Linked DNA regions of Mus musculus: all the other regions are reported to be linked to region 1. Evidence: microRNA targets listed by miRTarBase, many of them from high-throughput screens and not tested one by one. Region 1 holds a microRNA gene; each other region holds the end of a gene's coding sequence.
What was found. The annotated mature microRNA mmu-miR-3105-5p reads AGAGCAAGCCCGUAAGCAGCGU and lies in region 1 at 1,337-1,358, opposite strand. An mRNA with a match to its seed (bases 2 to 7 or 8) in the 3' UTR can be bound and repressed. Matches are read on the target gene's strand: a 7mer-m8 pairs with bases 2 to 8, a 7mer-A1 pairs with bases 2 to 7 and ends in A, and an 8mer does both.

Region 2: miRTarBase lists Hacd3 as a target of mmu-miR-3105-5p. Seed matches in the 3' UTR shown: 7mer-m8 at 4,055-4,061.
Region 3: the mRNA of Xpo7 is a reported target of mmu-miR-3105-5p. The part of its 3' UTR that is shown has no 7-base or 8-base seed match.

The regions. Positions count from the first base shown.
Region 1 is chr7:144,003,862-144,010,624 of GRCm38, reverse strand. It overlaps Mir3105 (microRNA 3105), which reads right to left and starts at 1,371; the gene lies at 1,287-1,371. It also overlaps a transcript of Shank2 not described here.
Region 2 is chr9:64,984,872-64,991,634 of GRCm38, reverse strand. It overlaps Hacd3 (3-hydroxyacyl-CoA dehydratase 3), which reads left to right. Exons shown (of 11, transcript NM_021345.2): 9 at 555-661; 10 at 1,187-1,318; 11 at 3,106-4,652. The coding sequence ends at 3,182. Ints14 (integrator complex subunit 14) reads right to left here. Exons shown (of 13, transcript NM_001077631.2): 13 at 4,654-5,776. The coding sequence ends at 5,534. Among named protein-coding and RNA genes, the nearest start is that of Gm25640, 17 kb to the right of the region's middle.
Region 3 is chr14:70,661,306-70,668,068 of GRCm38, reverse strand. It overlaps Xpo7 (exportin 7), which reads left to right. Exons shown (of 28, transcript NM_001359888.1): 27 at 920-1,047; 28 at 1,975-5,943. The coding sequence ends at 2,068. It also overlaps a transcript of Npm2 not described here. Among named protein-coding and RNA genes, the nearest start is that of Npm2, 12 kb to the right of the region's middle.

The DNA.
Region 1 (6,763 bases):
CAAATGTAAGGACCATGATCAGATCCTCAGAACCTATACAAATATCAGGTAGATATGGCAGCCCCCCCCCTGTAATTACAGCCTCCAGAGGGCAGAGCCTGGGCATCCCCAGAGCAAGATGACTAGCAGGACTAGCCAATTGATGAGTTCTGGGTTTGATTGAGAGACCCTCAAAGACTAAGCTGGTAAAGGTGATCAAAGAAGATTACATCAACCCTAGGGGCCTCCACATGCATGCACACCTACAGATGTGTGCCTATACACATGCAAAACATGCATACATGCATGTACATGGAAAGGGGAGGAGGGAAGAAAGCTTAAAATTATTCTAGAATATTTCAGAGAACTTAAATTTTTTCTTTATCTTCTGTGCAATGAGGTAGACGAGAGAAACTCAAATCCCCAAGAAAGAATGTTTTGATAGACTCTAAGGGGCTTTGGGTCTGTAGGTGAGAAGGCACTGCTTGCCTGGATTTATAAATGAAGCACACTGGTAATGGAGGCCACCAGCTGAAGAGCAGCGGTCTGGAGGTCCCTCTATCCACCTCCCCACCCCCAACTCTGTCCCACTTGAGCAAAACACCTGATCTCGCAAGGAGGGGCAGAGAAAGGTGAGGGAATGCTCTGAGATTCTATAATCCTCAACCTCCATGCCTGGAGCAGCCTCAGCCTGCCACCCATCCTGGCCAGTGCCTCCATTTTGGCACAGGGACCCAGCCTGCAAAGCTCCCAAGTCCATCTTGCTCTTTCTCCATGGGAGCAGCCCAAGCTACTGAAGCAGAAGCTCAGGACACACTAGCCTCAGCCCGCAGAGCGCTCAGTGTGCGGCTCAGCAGCTGCTGGCTAAGAGAAGGGAAGAACTCAGCCACCTACTCCATTCGGCGCCTAAAGCAGAGGAAGGCAGGCCCGACACCTGACTGAGAGTGCCCACACACGGGAGGCCACGTTCCAAAGCAATACAAGAGCCACTAATGACATGGAGAAGAGGCAATCCTTCAGAGGGCCAGCCTGCGCCAACTCATTCCACCTCCTGCCAAGCCTTCAGGAACAGGGAAGGGCTCAAGTTTGAATAGTCCCTTTGGGGGGGCTGTGAATTCTGTGGGTGGCCTCAGTGCAGTGAAGCTGGGACCCCCTGGCTAGCACCCCTTCTGTTCTGGTTTGCTTTTTATCGCTGTGATAAACAAGGTGACCAAAAGCACTTGGGGAGGAAAGTTTCATCTTACAGCTTACAGCCCATCATGGAGAGAATAGGGAAGGCTAAGGCAGGAACCCAGAGGCAGGAGTGGAAGCAGAGGCTATGGAGTGCAAGCTCATAAGCAGTGTTCCTCAGTAACTTACGCTGCTTACGGGCTTGCTCTCCAGAGCCTGCTCAGCTTTCTTACACAACTGAAGGCCACCTGCGCAGTGCTGGCACAGCCTACAGTGGGCTGGGCCCTCCCATGGCAATCATTAATCAAGAAAAAGCCCCATAGGCTCTTCTACAAGCCAATCTGGTAGAGGCAATTCCTCAACTAAGGTTCTTCCTCCCAGGCAACGCTAGCTTATGTCAAGTCACTAACCAGGAAACTGACTCCTTGCCAAATTGACACACAAATACATAATTACTAAATAATAACATCCTCTCTGTTTATCTCCAAGATCTTATGTTAATATCACAATGAAAAACTAAGTGTGACTTAAATTCCTGTAGTCTTTAACAATTTCAGCACTTGGGGCTGGAGAGTTAGCTCAGGGATGAAGACCAACAGCTGCTCTTTCAGAGGGCCTGGGTTCTATTCCCAGCCCCGACATGGCAACTCACACCTGTCTGTAACTCCACTTCCAGGGCACCTGGCACCCTATGCCAGCCTCCACAAGTACTGCATGCACATGGTTCACAGACATACAACCAGGCAAACATCATACCTATACAATTTTTTAAAAATTTCAACACTTTAAAAAAAGACCAGTCTCTTTAAAATACCCAATGTCTCTTTAGTCCAAAGTCTCTCAACTGTGAGCTCCTGTAAGAAAAAAATCCAAGTCAATCTAAGAACTTTCTCATTCCAAGAGAGAAGAACCGGGAAACCGTCTCTGTCTGAACAAAGTAAAACCAAGCACAGCAGTACGCGTTACATCCTGTAACTCAGAGTCTTGCATCTGGCCCTCGCTCACCATCTTCTGGGCTCCTACAGGCCTGGGCAGCTCCACCTCTCCAGCTCTGTCCTGCACAGCACACATAACACATAGGCTCAGGCAGACTCCACACCACAGCTGCTGCTGTCCTTGGTGATCCTCCCATTGTCCTCGTATTCCAGTGTCCTTGATCTCCATGGTCCTGGCGTCACCACACTCTGTCCCTTCACCAGTGACCTTCTGGCCTCTCTTCAGGGACTCTGACCTGCTACACCGTGCCAAGCTTCAGCCCCTCTCCATGACCCCTTGAGCCCTAGAGTCTCTGTGACACCTTGCAACAGAACCCTGGTTTCAGGAGTATCCCCACCCTACAACCTGGAGCAAGGCTGGCCATCACTGTGGGGGGAAAAACTCCTATTTTTCCAGCTGGAAACTGGTTACTTGGTCTGAGAAGTGTCCTTGGTATCCAGGAAGGGTTGCTGCACCTTAAGAGAGTGGCAGGAATGTCCCTCCCCTCCTCAGTGTGCAATCAGGAGTAAGCCACTCTATTTGGCCAGTCTGCCAGCCAAGAGAGGCTTGTCACTTTGTGGGCAGTTTCCCTCCTTCCTCCAAACCCATGAGCAGTAAAAGCATTTGTCTATCTGCCATCCTCCCCCTCATCACCACATCACTGGCAATCATCAAGGAGTAGGAATCAATCTACAAGGAACCAGGCCGATGGAATATTCTCCAGCTGTGAAAAAGAGCAAGGCACTGGTACAGGCTACAGTATGGATGAGCCTTGAGGACCCTATGCCAAGTGAAATCACACAGCACAGAAGGCCATATCCTGTCTAACCATTTCTATACAGTGTCCAGAAGTGTAGTTACTCAGAGCCAAGGGAAGGTAAGGCATGATTGCTGTTGACCTAGGGGTTTCTTCTTGGGGAGGTAAGAACATTCTAGAAGAGACAGTGGTATGGTTGTACAGCATAGTCAGGAGCCACTGACTTGGACACTTTACAGTGGTAAGCATAGGAGACAGCACTCTCCAGTGGAAGAGCACCAATAGGATGGGGGCATTTTAAAAGGGGATGTGTCATGCTGGCCTGCACAATGCTGTCTGGGTAGTTCAACTCTAGCTAGCTCATCCAGAGTGATGGAGAGTTTGGCAGCTGCTCAGTCCTGAAGGGCTGCTGGGACTCTGTCTACAGCAGAAGGCTGATAAAATTGGTCCAGGTATTGGTGATATGCTCAGTGGTCGGCCTCTGAACTTGCCACTGAGAGCAATGGTAAGCAAGCAACGTTTCCTTCATTCCATTCTTTTATCTGGGCTGCTGCTGACATCAAGTGTAGGTCTGTCTTCCTACTTCAAATAATCTGAGAAAAAAAAAATCCTTCACGGGAGCACCCAGAGGACTGTTCCAGTTGATTCCAGATCCAGTCGGCCACCAGAGTAAGTTTTACGTGAATCTTACATCAATTTGTAAATTGCCAAGAAAAATAACCCTAAAAGATAAAACTGGGCCCCTACCCATTAAAGCAAAGTCCTCTTTTCCTAGCCAGAGGCTATCCGCTTAGACTTCTGCTGACTTCTGGAATCCCTGTTGTTGATTCTGCTCACAGCAGTGTGGATGCCTACAGCTTTGGCCATGGCTCTGCTCATCCTAGACAGGGTGGCTGCCCATCATGTACAGTTCAGGTGATCAGAATCCTACCTGATGAGGCATGGTATCCATGTGGCCGTCTTGCCTTCTACAGTGACCTATGATGTTCCAGCGGCATCTTCTGGTCCAATGTATGGTGCCTGCTCACATCTCTCCTGTACCCCATCTCCTGGAGGCATAGTTGCTGGACAGCATACACTGTTTGCCAAAGGTCTGAAAGCCAAGCCACCTTTGCTGTTAGATCCTGTCCATCTCTGGTGTGCCTCTCCTAGGGCAGGACTTCTAAGGAAGTGGCTGTGAGCCCCACTTTACCTCCACAGGCTCTCAAAGCCAAGGGCTCAATTCATATTGCAGCCTGCACATCCCCGGCACCGGCTCTCTTCTGCCTGCCTTCAATCACTGTTGCCACCTTCGCGCGCACTTGAGCCTGATCCTCACTGTGACATTTCAGGTTTAACAAGACACACTTTCTCAAAGCTGCAGTTTACAAAGCCCACGGTGCTGATGTTGACTCTCTAGCTGCATTTTACTCTCTCAGGTGAAAACATGAAGCCGCTATTGTGCAGGTCCAGAGAGTTCTAGACTCACGGACCACACATGGAGTGACAGCCAAAACTGGCCCACAGTTCCTGGGGTAGGTGATGTCCTGGTGGTCTCTTATCCACCTTCCTGCCTCACCTTTGATTCCTGCAACGTTCCCTGAGAGTCCCTCATATTGAAGATCTGATGTGCATCATGTCATAGACCAGGCCAACTTTTCTGGGCCTGATGTCTGTGTGTGTGTGTGTGTGTGTGTGTGTGTTACATGCACACGAGTACTCCAGTGTATGCTCAAGCAGAATTCACAGCAGGATATCAAGTATCTTCCTGTATCTCCAATGTATTACCTCAAGCCAGGTCCTTTTATCAACCTCTACCTCATCCACTATGGTCACAAAAGCTAATCCTCCCCACAGCCTCAGGATCCCAAAGATCACAGTGCTGCCTGCCATCCTTGCTGTCCACCTAGGAAACTGCCACCAGGTGTTCCCACAGTAACCAGTGTGCTGTCAAGGGAACCTGAGCCCTCAGAAATGGATGCTCACACCTGTCTTCTTGCTGAGTGAAAGCCAGAGGCTTGAAAAGGAGCCCATCACATCCTGTGGCGGTCTCCTACAACCATTCCACAAAGTACAAAAGCCTGGTCTCAAGCAGCAGAGATTTTGCTCTTGGAAGCCAATGTCAACAACTCAGAACCCCCAGCTGGATCTATGTAAGCAATACTGCACTCTCCCAGAGCCTCAAAGCCCAGAAGAGCATCCCCCTGCTTCTCTCAGTTCCTGTGGCTTTAGACATCCCTGGGCCATGGCTGTATCTTCTTTCTTCTTCTCCTTCTCCTTCTCCTTCTCCTTCTCCTTCTCCTTCTCCTTCTCCTCCTCCTCCTCCTCCTCCTCCTCCTCCTCCTCCTCCTCTTATTCTTCTTCATTGTTGTCATCATCATCATCATTGTGTGTATATAAGATGTATGTATGTCACACATATCAAGATCAGAGAACTGTTTGATGGAGTCTGTCCTCTTGTGGGACCATGAAAGGTAGCTTGGTTCCCAGTTGAGCTAAGGCTTGAAACCCCAGAGACCTTGAAGGGATGGTAGATGCTTAGCCTGTTCCCAGGCACCAGGTCCCTGTCAGTAGCCACAGCCCTCCATAGATTTGTGGCCAACAGTTATGTAAGGGCAATGCCCCAAGCCCCTCCACATGTAGAGGACATGACCTGTGGTCACATAGGCTCAAGACAGATCTCCATTTTAATGAGGTACCTAAAGGCCTGGAGGGCTTAGCCAGTAAGTTTTTCTTCTCAGAGACTCCTCCCTGCAAAAGGTCTCAGGCCCACCCTGAGAAACGGGGTATGGTTTTATTCATTCACTTTCCACCATGACAATAAATGCCTTAAAACCACGGACTGTCTCTTTTCGCTGGGATCTGCAGTAGGGAACCATGGAGCCCCTGTCTAATCTTCCATAGAAGACAGTCTGTGCTCCCATTCATGGTTGCCACCAAGTCAAGCTCAAGACTGCTGCCCATCAACCCAAGAACTCTCCCCAAGGGACCAGCTGGAGCTCTCCCCTTTTCTCCCTCAACCCCAGGCCAGATCCAGCCCGTGGGCCCCCCACTCTGTTCTCAGCTCTTCCACAGCTTTCAGTGGTGCCTGGGTGTCCAAGAGCCTAAGAACCAGATGACCCTAAGAGCCTAAGAACCAGATGACCCTGAGAACCTAAAAACCAGATGGCCCCGGCCACGTTGTAGGCCCAGGGACCCCTGAGCCAGCTCTGGCTGTCCTGCTCCTCAGTCTGTGCTTCCCCACCCCTGGAGCGGTGTCCCCGGGCTTCCCTACTACCCAACCCTCGCCCAACGACATCCTCTACATCCTACATCCTCTCCTTCTACATTTCTGTGGGTTCTGAGGATCAAACCCAGGCAGGTCCCCAGGCTCTCACAATAAGCACTTTACCCACCTGCCCCCATGGCTGCATCTCTCCAGGTTCTGCCTTGGCTTCTTGAGGCATCATCTTCTCTCTCTCCAAGCTTCTCTCAGCCCCTATACAAGGGCTTTAATGACATTAGACTAGCAAGATTATCCAGGCCATCTCCCATACACAAGGCCCTCCCTCAACTCAGTCTTGTTGCCAGTTCCCTTGGGGCCACACAAGATCAAGGGATCAGGATTCTGTGGGTTTAGGGCCATCTGCCAACCTGTCACATGCTTCTGGTGGCAGGTCCCCCAAAGCAATCTCAGAGATGATAAAGATGGTTCATCAGCTTTGGGTAGGTCCTTGAGCTCAGCCATTGCCATCCAGCTAAGTAGCACTCACCAAGAGAGGGTCATTGGTTCCCATGGTACCCCATTACAGACTAGGCTCTGGTCAGCAAGGGGACAGAGTGACCTGATTTTGCTCACATTGCATAGACAGCATGAAGATGGAAGAGTAACACCTATTTGATAAAGCCAAACTCCTAGGAAGA
Region 2 (6,763 bases), not on the chromosome of region 1:
GTGGTGCCTGCACCATGTCTTATTGTGCCTGGATCTGAACCCCCTGGCACCATGGATACAAAGATTTGAAACAGATTCAAGGTCTTTGATGATAACATTTTGGGAAGAAATTAATTTCTTGTGATTTTTAAAAAATTTTCTTTTTCACTTTTGAAGAAAGGTCTCACTATGTAGCCTTGGCTGCCCTTGAACTCTCAGAGATCTTACTGTCTCTTCTTCTGCGATGAGACTTAAAGACATGCACTACCATGCCCAGTGTGATGTCTCTTTAAGCCTGAGCATTTCTGATTCGAGATTAGAGGCTTTTTGTATAATTTTATAGAATTACTCATTTATCCAGAGGCAGCTAGGCATCTCTCCCTACTAGGAACATAGATGAGAGCTAGGAATAAAGCTATGTTCTAAGCATCCAGCACGGAGCTGAACAAAGAGGGTTCCTTGAAGAATACACTGAGCCTGCCCATAGACTTCACAGCCTGGTGTGTGAGAATGCCCATCTAGGGTGGAATTCAGAGCCTGCAGTGGCTGTTGTCTTTGATTTCTGTTTTCCATAGGTATCCCTTCTACATGCTCTCCTGCATTGACATGGACTGGAAGGTGCTCACGTGGCTCCGTTACACTATGTGGATTCCGTTATATCCCCTGGGATGTTTGTCAGAAGGTATTTTTAAAAACTTTAGGTTCATAGTATAGCTCTCAGGGGTGCCCATGTGGTAAGAGGCTGGTTTCCTCTCTGCCAGCCGTAATCTAATCAATGTGGTATTAAGACCTCAGGCCTTTCTTCCTGATGGCCTTTTTCCATACTCTTTGTCTGACTGTTCCAGAGACATGGGTCTCATTGCGTAAGGTTTGGAAGCTGGGTGCTCCTGTGCTGCATGCTTTTTATTTACAAGCTATTCTTAATATTCCAAAGAGAGATCTTATTAGTAATTTCATTTTATTATGACAGCCCCTAGTGAATAGATCAGACACAAAATTTCCTCCCATTTTATAGATGAGGAAACAGAAGCCCAGTGCTGGGCTGTTCTCATCAGTCTCCTGGAAGCTTAGAGGCAATGTGAGAACCCGGGAGCTTTCTGTACAGGCGGGTAGGAGACATCTCCTGCAGCCTCAGGCTGGAGCTGTGAGCCCGAGGTGCTGGAAGCTCATGTGTTCCATTTGCTTCTCACTGCTTGCTTGCTTTCAGCTGTGGCAGTGATCCAGTCCATTCCAGTATTCAACGAGTCGGGAAGGTTCAGTTTTACTTTGCCATATCCAGTGAAGATGAAAGTCAGATTTTCCTTCTTCCTTCAAGTTTATCTCGTAATGTTATTTTTAGGTAAGTACGTCTCTTGTCATATTTTAGACAGGAGAGCTAAGTGGTTCAGTTTTAGCATCCCTTAATATAATTCTACTTCTGAAAGAGTGGCCAGGGAAAGGCTTTATTTGTGCAAACAGACCCAGTAGGAGAGTTTGCTGCATGTGGAAATCTTTCTCTCAGGTCTGCAGTAGCTGAATTGTGAGTGCTCTGTCAGTGCGAGTCTGTCATATATGTGGATATTGAGGCATACCATACAGTATCTCCCGATGACCCACTAAGAGCTCTTCTAACAAGAGCAGGAGATGAGAACCCTGCTGCCTGCATTCTAACCTACTTGGGGCTGAGGAGGAGGTAGAGGCGTGGCAAATGAGGGGGGAGGGAGGTGGCGATGGTCTCTGTTGGGAAGCGCCCCGCTGATTATGGCCGCCTTAGTAGGTTTGTATCCAACATGAATTCTAGATTAACTCAGAAAAGCTCAGAACTAACCGGAACAAGAGATAAACTTAAAATTACTCGAAAGCCACCGTAACTCAAGGATTTCCTGTAAGCATCGGTGTTTAGGTTATGTATTTGACTTGGTAGATTTAAATAAACATAGCTGCGTTGTAGGCAACAGTGGGTTCAGCCACTGCCAGTGTGCTAGCTCTCTTGGTGTGTACTGTATTCATCAAGACGTAGCCACTGATAGATAACAAGAGTTGTCTTCAGACTGGCAAGGCTCAGTGCAAGAGAAGGGAGGGAAGGAATCAGTAGTGAGCATCTAAGAGGTTGCCACCCTGAACAGAAGATGAACAGTACAAATGGCCTGAGAGGTTAAAAAGCCGAGTGGTCTCCATGATTTAGTGTGGGAGGTTATACTACTTAGGAGGCCCTATGAAAAAAAGTTAGAATTCTGTGTGGTGGCTCACATTTGTAATCACAGCAGCAGGGAGACTGAAGCAGGAGGACTGCCTTAAGTTCAAGGCTAGCCCAGGCAATAGAGTAAGGTCCTGTACCCAGTAAAGAGTGGAAATATTTTAATATGCAGTGACCCTATGACCTATCTTTTTTTTAGTGTTGCTTAATAGAAAGATATGTACATGTTATTATTCAAAATTAAACCAATCCAAAATTGTAAATTTTGGGTCTTAACCAGGTAGTATATGTTCATAGGTCAAGGAATTTTTTTATGCACATTCTTTCATAGTAAGTATGTGATGTGTTTTTATCCCTGTTGTACAACTGAAGGAACTGAGGTGAGGCTAAGCTACAGAACTTTCTGGTTAAGTAGAATTGAAACTGGCATCTGAAATCCTGTTTCCTCACATACTGCTTTGTACTTTCAGACTGTAGCTTACTTTTAAAAAAGTAAGTTCTTTAAAAAAAAAAAGTCAGTTCTTGAATAGCCCTTCAGCTCTGATTTAGCCACTCATTACATATGTATGGGGGGAAAACAGGCAAAAACCATCGTTAACTTAATCATCTATGTAGGGTGAACTGTATTGATGACTATATTAATATTGAAATGTGTCAAAACATGAGAGTCAGATGAACAGATCATAGGCATGAGATACACACAGTCTGATGGAAAGTTGGATCCAGAAGCTGTTCAGTAGACAAGGTTTATCTCTGTCTAACCCTGCACAAGAGGCCATGAGCAGTGAGGCCACAAGCCCCTGCAGGGCTGGACACCTCTCGCAGCACTGCTGTGGGTTCCGCTGTATCTGAGCAATAGATTTAGTGCCGTGAGGCCTGGGCACAAACAGCAGATAACTCACTTCCCTGTCACAAGGACATTTCTAATCAGTTGGTTTTTTTTCCCCTAGGGTTATATATTAATTTTCGTCACCTTTATAAACAGCGCAGGAGGCGGTATGGACAAAAGAAGAAAAAGCTCCACTAAAGATGAATTTGGTAGCTTCATTTGAGCAGAGTCTATGATTCCTACTCTTCTACTTCTTGTACTGATATAAGGGTTTGTTTTGTTTTGTTTTTTAAAGTAAGGCTGTCTCTCTTTCCCAGTAACATTCCTGAGTCTACTGTCCTTATCTTAGTGTTGTACTTGCATGACATGGATATCTGGTATCTGAGGACAAGTTCATTCTTGTGTATTTAATAACAAAGGTGGCCCTCTTCATGTCTGCTCCTCCCTACAGGCACTGTCTGTCTTCACAGGGCTTGGTCTTTCTGCTGCCACTTGTGAAAACCGAAAAAAAACAAGACTACATAGCACCGACTTTTTGAAAATCAGATAAACATGGTTATTGACATTTTTTGAGTCAGAGTAGGGCTGGAGAACACTTCATATTTGATGCCTTTTAGCTAAAGACATTCATTACTATAGCACTTCCCAGGCATTGAAGAGGCAGAGTGATTTAGAGAACGAAATCAGAACCTGGGAACACCATGACTACTTCATTTCTAGCTAAATCAGAACTGCCTTCAACACTGGAGAAAGGGAGAAGTACTGCGCAACAGAGATTAGAAGTCCAAATGTGAATGGCTGCAGGGGTCAGAAGGGAACAGAGATGCAGGAGACAGGCAGGATCAGTTGTGGTAATGATGCCTGTGGCAAACACAAACACCTACTTGGGCTGCACACAGTCACACAATCAATCTATAATTCTTGGGGTTAGCTCAGTCCATTTACTTGTGTATTTCTGAGTGGTTGGTGAGATTACTTTATTGAACTGTTTTTTTCCTTGTTAGATTTTTTTTTCTCTTTTTTTGTTTTTTAAGATAGGGTTGTTCTGTGTAGCTTTGGCTCTCCTAGAACTTGCTCTGTAGACCAGGCTGGCCTTGAACACAGAAAGAGATTCATCTGCCTCTGCCTCCTGAGTGCTGGGATTAAAGGCAAAAGCCACCACAGCCTGTTTTGTTTTGTTTTCGGTTTAAAAACAACAACAAACTGTGTGCATGCAGAATACAGACCTTGAGGTTGGCTACTGTTCAAGACAGCTTCAGTCTCTCTACCACATTCCATGTAAACCTATGGTGAAGTAACACCAGAAAAAAGAGCCTGAGAGTGGTCGCTTCCATCTTCCACTCCCCTTGTTCTTGGGGGGAAAGGAAGGAGACTTCTGCTGTTGCAGTGAGCCCAGAGTGGATTGGCATTAAACTGGCTGCTTTGACACACCTCATCTCACCCAAGAGTATTTCCCAAGTCTGCAGCTTCCGTCAGCGATTGTTGTGTTACCTTCTGGTGTTCCCTCACTGATTGTGGACAAACCTGGCAGTTGAGCTTTGCAGTCAATTATGCCGTATCCCTGTGCAAACTCCCATGTTCTAGTTGCTGTTAGCATCCCCTTTGTTGCTGTCTGAGAAAGTGAAAGATTGTGTATTTCTATTAAAACATTTACAGTCAAAATCCTAATAACTTGTGCTTAAACATCATTTAATCTCATGAGTTTTAAATGGGTAAAGTGCTTTGTTCAGGCACAGTGACTCTGGCAGGAGCCTAAGGGAGTACTGAAGGCAGTCACGAAGCACTGGGTGAGCACTGTGCAGGCACAGCCTGGGAGGCCTGACTCTCCCATCAGTGCTCTCAGAACCACTGGCCAGAACCTTGCTGAGGTACAAAGCTTGATCACTGTCAGAAACTAGGAAGTTACACAGGACCCGAGAGACATTGCTTCTTAGGAGTCTGACATTTTGGAAGCTGTATTATATTCAAGGGATAAGATAGATCAAAACACCATTTGTTTCTAAGTGCAATCACTATAGAAAATCAAATATTTAATTTTCATTTAAAAACATGAACAGGAGTGATTTTACACATATTGTGGTTACAGTCTAAAAATGTGTACCTTGGGATACACCAGAAGCACCTGAGCATTGCCACTTGTATTTTAACAAGTTCTAAGAAAAAAATTGAAACTCAATGGCATCGGGTTTGTACTTAGGCAAGTTCTAGACATCTGGATTGCTTCTTCCAAGCACAGAAGTTTAAGAATGTCCTTGTAATTGAGACATGAAGAGTCGCTTTCTGGATGCTAGACGGCCCTGGCTGCCTAGGCTTCTTCCTGCGCTCGCTCCTCATCTGTCCAAGCTTCTCAGGAGCTGTGCCTATCATGGAACAAAGGCTGTTTCTGGACCTAGAGACTGAGCCCCAGACAACCAGCCTTCAGACCTTTCTCAGACTGCAGTAGAAACATTCAGACGGGCAAATGCTGTTTCTGATAGAGCTGGAGAAGGTTTTAACTCTAAATTGCCTTCAGACAAAGTGAACGTGAAGGAACGCTCCAGAGCTCAGCATCACATTCTTTCAGTGCTGCTCCCTGAGAAGTCTGTGTGCAGGGGTGTGATGTTGTGGTCATATATGGCATACTCAGTGCTGGCCAGCTTGAGCTGCTGGGCAGCGTGGGTGAGCTGGAATGCGGCGTCTGGGTGGGCTGTGTCCGGCAGCAGGGTACACTCCCTCTCCAGCATGTCGGCCACCCCTTTAAGCAGGTCCAGGAAACCAAAGGCTAAGGCAGCTTTTCGTAACCTGTTCAGCTCCTGAAACACATGGATAGTTCTCTTCACACAATCTCCAAGCACTCTGCTTAGACTTAGTTCTCTTTGACCCTCACTTAGGAAGCAGTGTTTTACACAAGGACCAGGGACAGCAGCGTGATGCATAACTGGCCAGTGATGTCTGCTGCATGCTCAGCTCAGCAGCTAGAATCGTCAGCAAGCTGATCACAGTTAATGCAGTTATGCCAAACAAAGCAAGCACCTTGCATACAGGATTCGTGCTGACTCTGGGGACTGGTTTCCCTCTCCTAATCAGGCATGGGAAAGGCTGGCTCCAGATGTCGGCCTCAGCCTGGTGCCTCTCTGATTAGATATGGAGTGAGTGACTGAACACATTTGGAGGAGACAGCAGAGGAAGCACCCACCACTCGCTCGAACATGTTGTGGCCAAGCTGGGTGGCTGCTGTGCTCTCAAATGCCCTGTTTACACAGGGAGGAGGCTCCTTCCTCGTGCACTTGAGGAACTGAAGCAGCCAGGTGTCAGGCCTTTTCTAGTTCTCAGACGTGAAGCTAGTTATAATGTATCAGGAAAAATAAAAGACCACCTCAGGACTGTACAAGCATGCTTGCTTGAACAGAAAGAACACTAGCAAACATGTACAAACTGCAGAGATAGGCTGCAGCTGAGCCCAGGTCCAGGGCTTATGTGGATCACAGAGTTTGGAGGTATGGCTGGCTGAGAGGCTTTCTGACCAAACTCTGATTAAAACTATATTTTGTCCAATTTTCCCAGATTGCTAGTAACTAGATTGAAAGACAACAGTGATAAAGGTAGTAAGATGTTACTCAGACAAGGTAGGTGTGCTCTCCGGAAGATATACTCACCCAAGGGTAAATTTTATTTTTATTTTCATTTTTATGTATATTGGTGTTTTGAATACACACACACACACACACCATGTGCATACTTGGTGCCCTCAGAGGGTCAGATCCTCTGGAACCATTTAGATGGTTGTGAGCCACTGGGAG
Region 3 (6,763 bases), not on the chromosome of region 1:
CACTTAGACCCAAACACATAAAGAAAAATAATAAGGAAAGCTTATTAAAACAAAAAGGAAAGGTAGGCAAGCCAAAGGCTATGATTTCCAGGCTCTGTGAAACTCCTACCACCACTTGGCAATCAGATAGGGGGAAGGCATTGACTAAATATATGCTGTTCCTACTTCCTGTGGAAGTACACTGTCTATACACAGTCAGATTTAGTGGCCCATGCATATAATCCCAGGATTTGGGAGGTGAAGGCAAGAAAATCAAAAGATTAAGATCATCCACAGTTACACAGTTAGTTTGAGGCCAGTGAGCTACACAAGAGAGACCCTATAGAAAACAATAACAGCAAAAAGTCCACAACACAACCAGTTAATGGAAAAGATAGTGAGATAAATCCTTTAAAAGGGAGCAATGTTCCTAGACTCCAAAGCACCTAAGACCCAAGCTCTAGGTCTATCTCTGTCTCAAGCCTTGAGATGCCCCTGACAGGACTTTTGATGCCAGGACAAGTCTTGAGATGCCCCTGACAGGACATCTGATGCCAGGACAAGTCTTGAGATGCCCCTGACAGGACATCTGATGCCAGGTCTAGGGGCAGGTGCTTACAGATCCAGCACTTGGGAAGTGCAGGAAGGAAGGTGGATCCACAAGTTCAGAATCATGAGTTCCAAGACATCCTGAGCCATTTGAGACACCCTGCCTAAAAACAAATAGTGTGGTGACTGTGCCGTGGTCAGCAGGGGACGGGAGGCACAGTAATCGTTAACAAGCCGCCTTACAAATTACAAGTTTCTGTTTTTAAATAATATGAAAACATCTTTTAAGTGCTTGGATTTTTAAAGTATAAATTGAATTGTGGTAGATACTGCCTTCTTCGGGGAACATTCATCTGCCTTCTTTCACTTTGTCTTGTTCCTTGGCCCACAGTATTTTTCTGACCTAAGAAACAGCATCGTCAATAGCCAACCACCAGAGAAACAGCAGGCCATGCATCTGTGTTTTGAAAATTTGATGGAAGGCATTGAACGGAATCTTCTGACGAAAAACAGAGACAGGTAAGTGTCTGGGTCTTGCCAAGAAGTGCTATTATTTTTCAAACCATTGAAGCAAGCACAGTTCCATATGCATCTCTATTGACCAGATGTGAGGTGCATAAAGCAGTGCTGTCTAGTAGAGAGGCAAGCTACATGTGTAATTTAGATTTCTTCATGAACGTTTTAGTGGTAACCCGAAACATCCACAGTTATTTTGGTGTATGATGTCTTAAAATTGAGAATGTAAACTCTCTATATTATTGAGAATGTAAGGTAAGTCTTCAGAAGCATTTCTGTGTTACACCTAATGACCTAAACTGAGATGCTAAGTGTTTGTCAGAAACACCTAACCTGAATTATATTTCATAAACTTAGAGTTGATACAGGATTCTGTACCCTGGTTGTACCAGACATCAAAAATTAACTATCTGGTTTATCTGAATTGTATAATTTTAGTGAAAGTGTTTTAAAATAAAAGTGATTTGAGTGTGAATGGAGAACTGAATTTAAATATTATTTGATTCAGCTCTCACTGGCCATAGGCAAGTGCTCCCTAGCCGTTTATAGTTAGCAGCTTCCATATTGAACAACACGGCTCTACGTCCTTAGTCTTTCAACTCTGAGGACTGTAACAACCTCATGTCATTTCTGCCTTTACTTTCTAAGGTTAATTCCCATCTCTTGTCAAGCAGTTAATATATCTGTGTTGCTGCCACAAGCCCAAGATGGCCCTCCCAGATTCAAGTTTGACCATCTCTGGTCTGCCATGAAGTTTCCAGGAAAAAGTAGAGGTGTAAATAAGACCACCTTTCCCTAATAGTTCTGAGACTACGGTTAGCCGATGAGGCACGATTTGCTGTATTCTGCTTCCCAGTAGCCATTTCTCTGCTTAGGAAAAGACCTTTCCTTTCTACCTCCTCCCCCAACCCACATGCATCCTTTCTGCAGGTTCACCCAGAACCTGTCAGCATTCCGTCGAGAGGTCAACGACTCAATGAAGAATTCCACTTATGGAGTGAATAGCAATGACATGATGAGCTGACAACTCTCGGACTCTACCTTGCAGAGCAGCGTCCCTTTGGTCTGGTCCAGAGGGTGAACAGTTGCAAGGGAGAGAGCCTGGCTGATCCCGGCTCCTTCCTCCAGGGGTATGGGGGAAATGGCAAAAGTCAACCAGCTATTTCCCCAGAAAGTACGGGGAAGTACGGGGTGTGCGTGCACTCACTGAGGGACAGGGCACTGCTGGTTCCTGGGGGACTGGGGTGGGAAGGGGTGGTGGGAGGAGACAGACGCACAGGCATCTGAGCCTCCGGCCGCTCCTGGGGTCACCGTGCAGGGAGAGCCCGGCGCCCTGCCGCAGCCTGCCTTGTATAAACATGTACATTTTTTCATAACGTTTTCAACAAGGTTTATATTGACTCAAGTTTAAAAACAAAAGTGTGACTGAAAACTTTTTACAGAGTCTAGTGCACCAATGCTGACGTGAGGGGTGATGTATGGCGAGTGAAGAAAATGTGCATTGTGGTGGCCTGAAGCTTTATTGGACAAGGATGTGTGAAAGTGCAGAGATATATTTAGTGACACAGTGTAGAGAGGCAAAAAAGGAAAAAACTCCAAATGTATATTTTTTCTTACTGCCCTTTCCCTCCCCACCCCCACTGATGCGTTCCTGATGCTGTATTAACCTTGTTATTAGGAACTCTGAGCCATGCGGGAGCACCACCCTCCCCATCCATGGATGCTGCCCTGGGCCCCCCAGCCTCCTGCAGTGACAGATAACTCCAGCTAAAGTCTCTGGTGTTCTTATCTCCATCCTTTCTCCCATTTTACTTAACCCTCATCCTCAGAAAGATGCCTCTTGCTATTAAAAGTCGGATTTATGTTTTAGGATTCTTGGTCTCTATAGGGAGACGACAGAGAATTGAGCCATTTGCTCTCTTGTTGAGCAATTTGCATGAGTCCACCAGAGGCCTAATATGTGTGGCCATAACTTTTGTCTTCCCCAGCCTTTGAGGCAGTGTGTGTGGATGTGTGTGGATATTTATGTGTGTACCCTGCACTCATGAATGTATGAACTGGAGGAAGTTACTACAGGGGAGGGCTCTCAATAACAAGGTCTACCTAGCATGAAGTATTTAACATTCTCCCTTGAAAAATATACATTTTTATAAAATAAAAACCATAATAAATGTTTTGAATATTAAAAAAGAAAAGTGAACCTACAGAGGAACATTGGATGGAGAAAACTCTTTGCCTTGTACTTTCCCACAACTGCTGCTAGTTATATACATCTCTAGTACAGCTCTTACCCATGGGACATTACCAATTAGGTTTTATTTTTATTTTCCTCAATCCTCACAAACAAGCTTATTAATTTTCCTTCTCCTCTGGCGACTGTGTGGTGAATCTTTTCTTGCGTGATCAGGTTGCGGATAGACTTGTAAGGGTGTTTGCTGCATACAGTGTAAGCATTGTGACCGCCAATAAACTTCGATGGTTTCTACTGACCTGGTTTCAGCAGTCACGTGTAGTGTGTTCAGGGATGTGTCTCACTGTCAACACATGGAGATATTTAGACAAACATGCTTTTTTTTTTTTTAAGCCAGTAGGTGCAGAAGTCCCTGTGTCTTGTAAAACTAACGCAGACTGTGTCTGCCTCAGCTCTTCTGACTGGTTCAGCTCACATACTTATAGCATAATGTTCTCCAGAGTTGTCAAAATGAAGACAGTCTACCTCTTTCCAGGTAATAAAGTGGCGACCTACATATAAGCAGTAGCTGAAGAAAGGCCCATTGGGTTAGTCCTTACACCTGCCTCTCTGATACAGGCTGGGCTTCATTTATTAGGCCTTGACAAGGTCAGTGGCAAATGTTTTCCCCTGGAATAGAATGTATAGGCCAAATGAAGCAAATAATGAAGACTAGTTTCTGTGATTTATGGCCCTGTACTGCACAGTGCTTTGATTACGAGGGAGCCCATGGCTAAGACCATTGAAAAGCAGGAACAATATAGGGCAGTTGTGGGTATCTTACCTGCAAGGGCCCAAGAGCCAATCCTGAATTCCTTCTTAGGAGTCCTAGAAAAACCATCCTGGCACATGCTCAGGAGAACCTGGGATACTAATTCTGAAGTAAATAAGACAAAGGGACTAGGAAGCTGTCTCACAAACACTAGAAAAACCTTGAAGTAACAGCTGGTCAACAAAACCCCAGTGTCCTTCCCTCTCTCCTACGGAAGAGACACTAGGGATGATAGTACCTTTGGTCAGTCACGGCACAGTGCTTAAGCTTGAGATCTTCCACGGCCCCAAGCTGTGTAAGACTCCGCTGACAAAGGTTTGCCCTGACATAGTAGTGCATGCCTTTAGCCCCAGCAATTGGGAAGCAAAGATTGGCAAATTGAAGTTTGAGGTCAGGTAGGACTACAAAGAAACCATGGATGGGGAGAGAGAGAAGGGAAGGTTTTTAGGATTTGGGAAATGAAAACAGGATTAGTTCAATATATACCTTGGCTACACAACAAAGCCATTCTGGACTACATGGGACCCCACCCCAAACACACATTACTAATTTCATAAAATTTAACCTAATACGAAATTCAGTTATTTTTCTTTTTACCTTTTTATTTTGTTATTTTTTTTATAGTCCAGTCATTATCTCCCTCCCTTTCTGCCCTCCCACAATTCCTCATCCCATTCCTCCCCCCACCCCTCTGAAAGGATGTCCCCACACACCCCTATACTCCACCAGGCCTTCCCATTCCCTGGGGCCTCAAGTATTAGGTGCATCTTCTCTCATTGAGACCAGACCAGGCAGTCCTCTCCTGTATATGTGTCAGGGGACTTGGACCAGCTAGTGTATGCTGCCTGGTTAGTGGCTCAATGTCAGATCTCACTGGGGAGGGGTTCCAGGTTTGTTGAGACTACTGGCCCTCCCATGGGCTCTTCAGACCATTGGTCAGGTGTAAGTATCTGCTTCTGTCTCAGTCAGCTGCTGGTAGAGCATCTCAGAGGGCAGCTGTGCTATATATAGACTCCTGTTATGCATGTCCTTTTGGGTCTGAGATGCCTCACTCTTGGTGATATTTTCTAGTTCCATCCATTTGCCTGCAAAACTCATGATGTCTTCGTCCTTGATAGCTGAATAGCATTCCATTGTGTAAATGAACCACATTATCTGTATTCATTCTTCCGTTGTGGGACATCTAGGTTGTTCCCAGCTTCTGGCTATCACAAATAAGGCCACCATGGTCGAGTACATGCCCAAGAGTAGTATAGCTGGGTCTTCAGGTAGATCTATTTCCAATTTTCTGAGGAACCTCCAGATTGACTTCCAGAGTGGTTGTACCATTTTGCAATCCCACCAGCAATGGAGGAGTGCTCCTCTTTCTCTACATTCTTGCCAACATGTGATGTCACCTTAGTTTTTGACCTTAGCTAATCTGGTCGGTATAAGGTGGTATCTCAGGGTCATTTTGATTTGTATTTCCCTGATCAGTAAGGACTCTGAACATTCAAGTGCTTCTCAGTCATTTGAGATTCCTCTGTTATGAATTCTCTGTTTAGTTGTATACCCCATTTTTTTCTATTGGGTTGTTTGGTTTTTTTTTGGAGGTTAGCTTCTTGAGTTCTTTATATATTTTGGATATTAGCGCTCTATCAGATGTGGGGTTAGGGATGAATTTTTTTCCAATCTGTAGGTTGCCGGAAATCCTATACCTTCCTCTTTTCTCAGATGTCATGGAAAGGTGTATGTTGTGGTTATCTGTGCTGTTCCTGGACACAAGTGTTTCATCTACACAGTGATATCTGGAATAAGCTACACTGAACCCTAAATTCCCTTACTGATGTTTATTAAATTTTATTGTGTACTATGTATTTATTAGCTTAACCCAAATAAAGCTAATATTTTCCTACTACAGTGCAAACCAAAGATGGGATTTTACTCAGAGTTGAAATGTTAGATTTTTATATTCTGTTTTTGGTTTTATTTTGCTGGTTTTTCAAGACTAAGACTTCTCTGTGTGACAGCTCTGACTGTCCTGGAACTATATAGACCAGGCTGGCCTCAAACTCAAGAGATATGCCTGCCTCTGCTTCCCAAGTGCTGGGACTAAAGGTGTGCACCACCAACCACCTCCTGGCTAAGTTCTGTTTTGATATGTGTTCTTATGTAGGCAAGGTTAGATTCAAATTTAATGTAACCAAGGTTAGCCTTGAATTTTGGCTCGCCTCCCCTCCTAAGTACTGATATCATAGGCATGTGCCACCATGCCTAGCTAGGCTTTGAAATTTTAAAAAGTAATGACTTGAGGCAGGTACCTCAATTTTCTAATGGAAAGTGACAGGATGTATTCTCTTTCTCCAGAGCATAGGCTTACTCTAATTACTCTCTCCTGGAGAGTAATGCTCCAGGATCCTGTAATCAATTTCTTCTAAGCACATAGGCCATTTCCAGAATAGCCATGGTCCTAGAACATGGATTAACCTAGATAGCCAAAACAGCACTCAGCAGCCAGTTCTGTCCAAACCAGAACTGACAAGATCGACAAACCTACATGGTAACCACTAATGTGTCAAACAGCAACGCAAAAATGGAGAGGAAGAACAGTTGGCTTAACTGTAAAATCCTTGCCACACTTAGGAAAACAAATTTGAAAGAACTAAAATGTGTAGCCCCAACTACAGTGAACCATCTATTAGCTCGGTGCGGTATTGTGGGGGAGGGGGGGGCTCTTC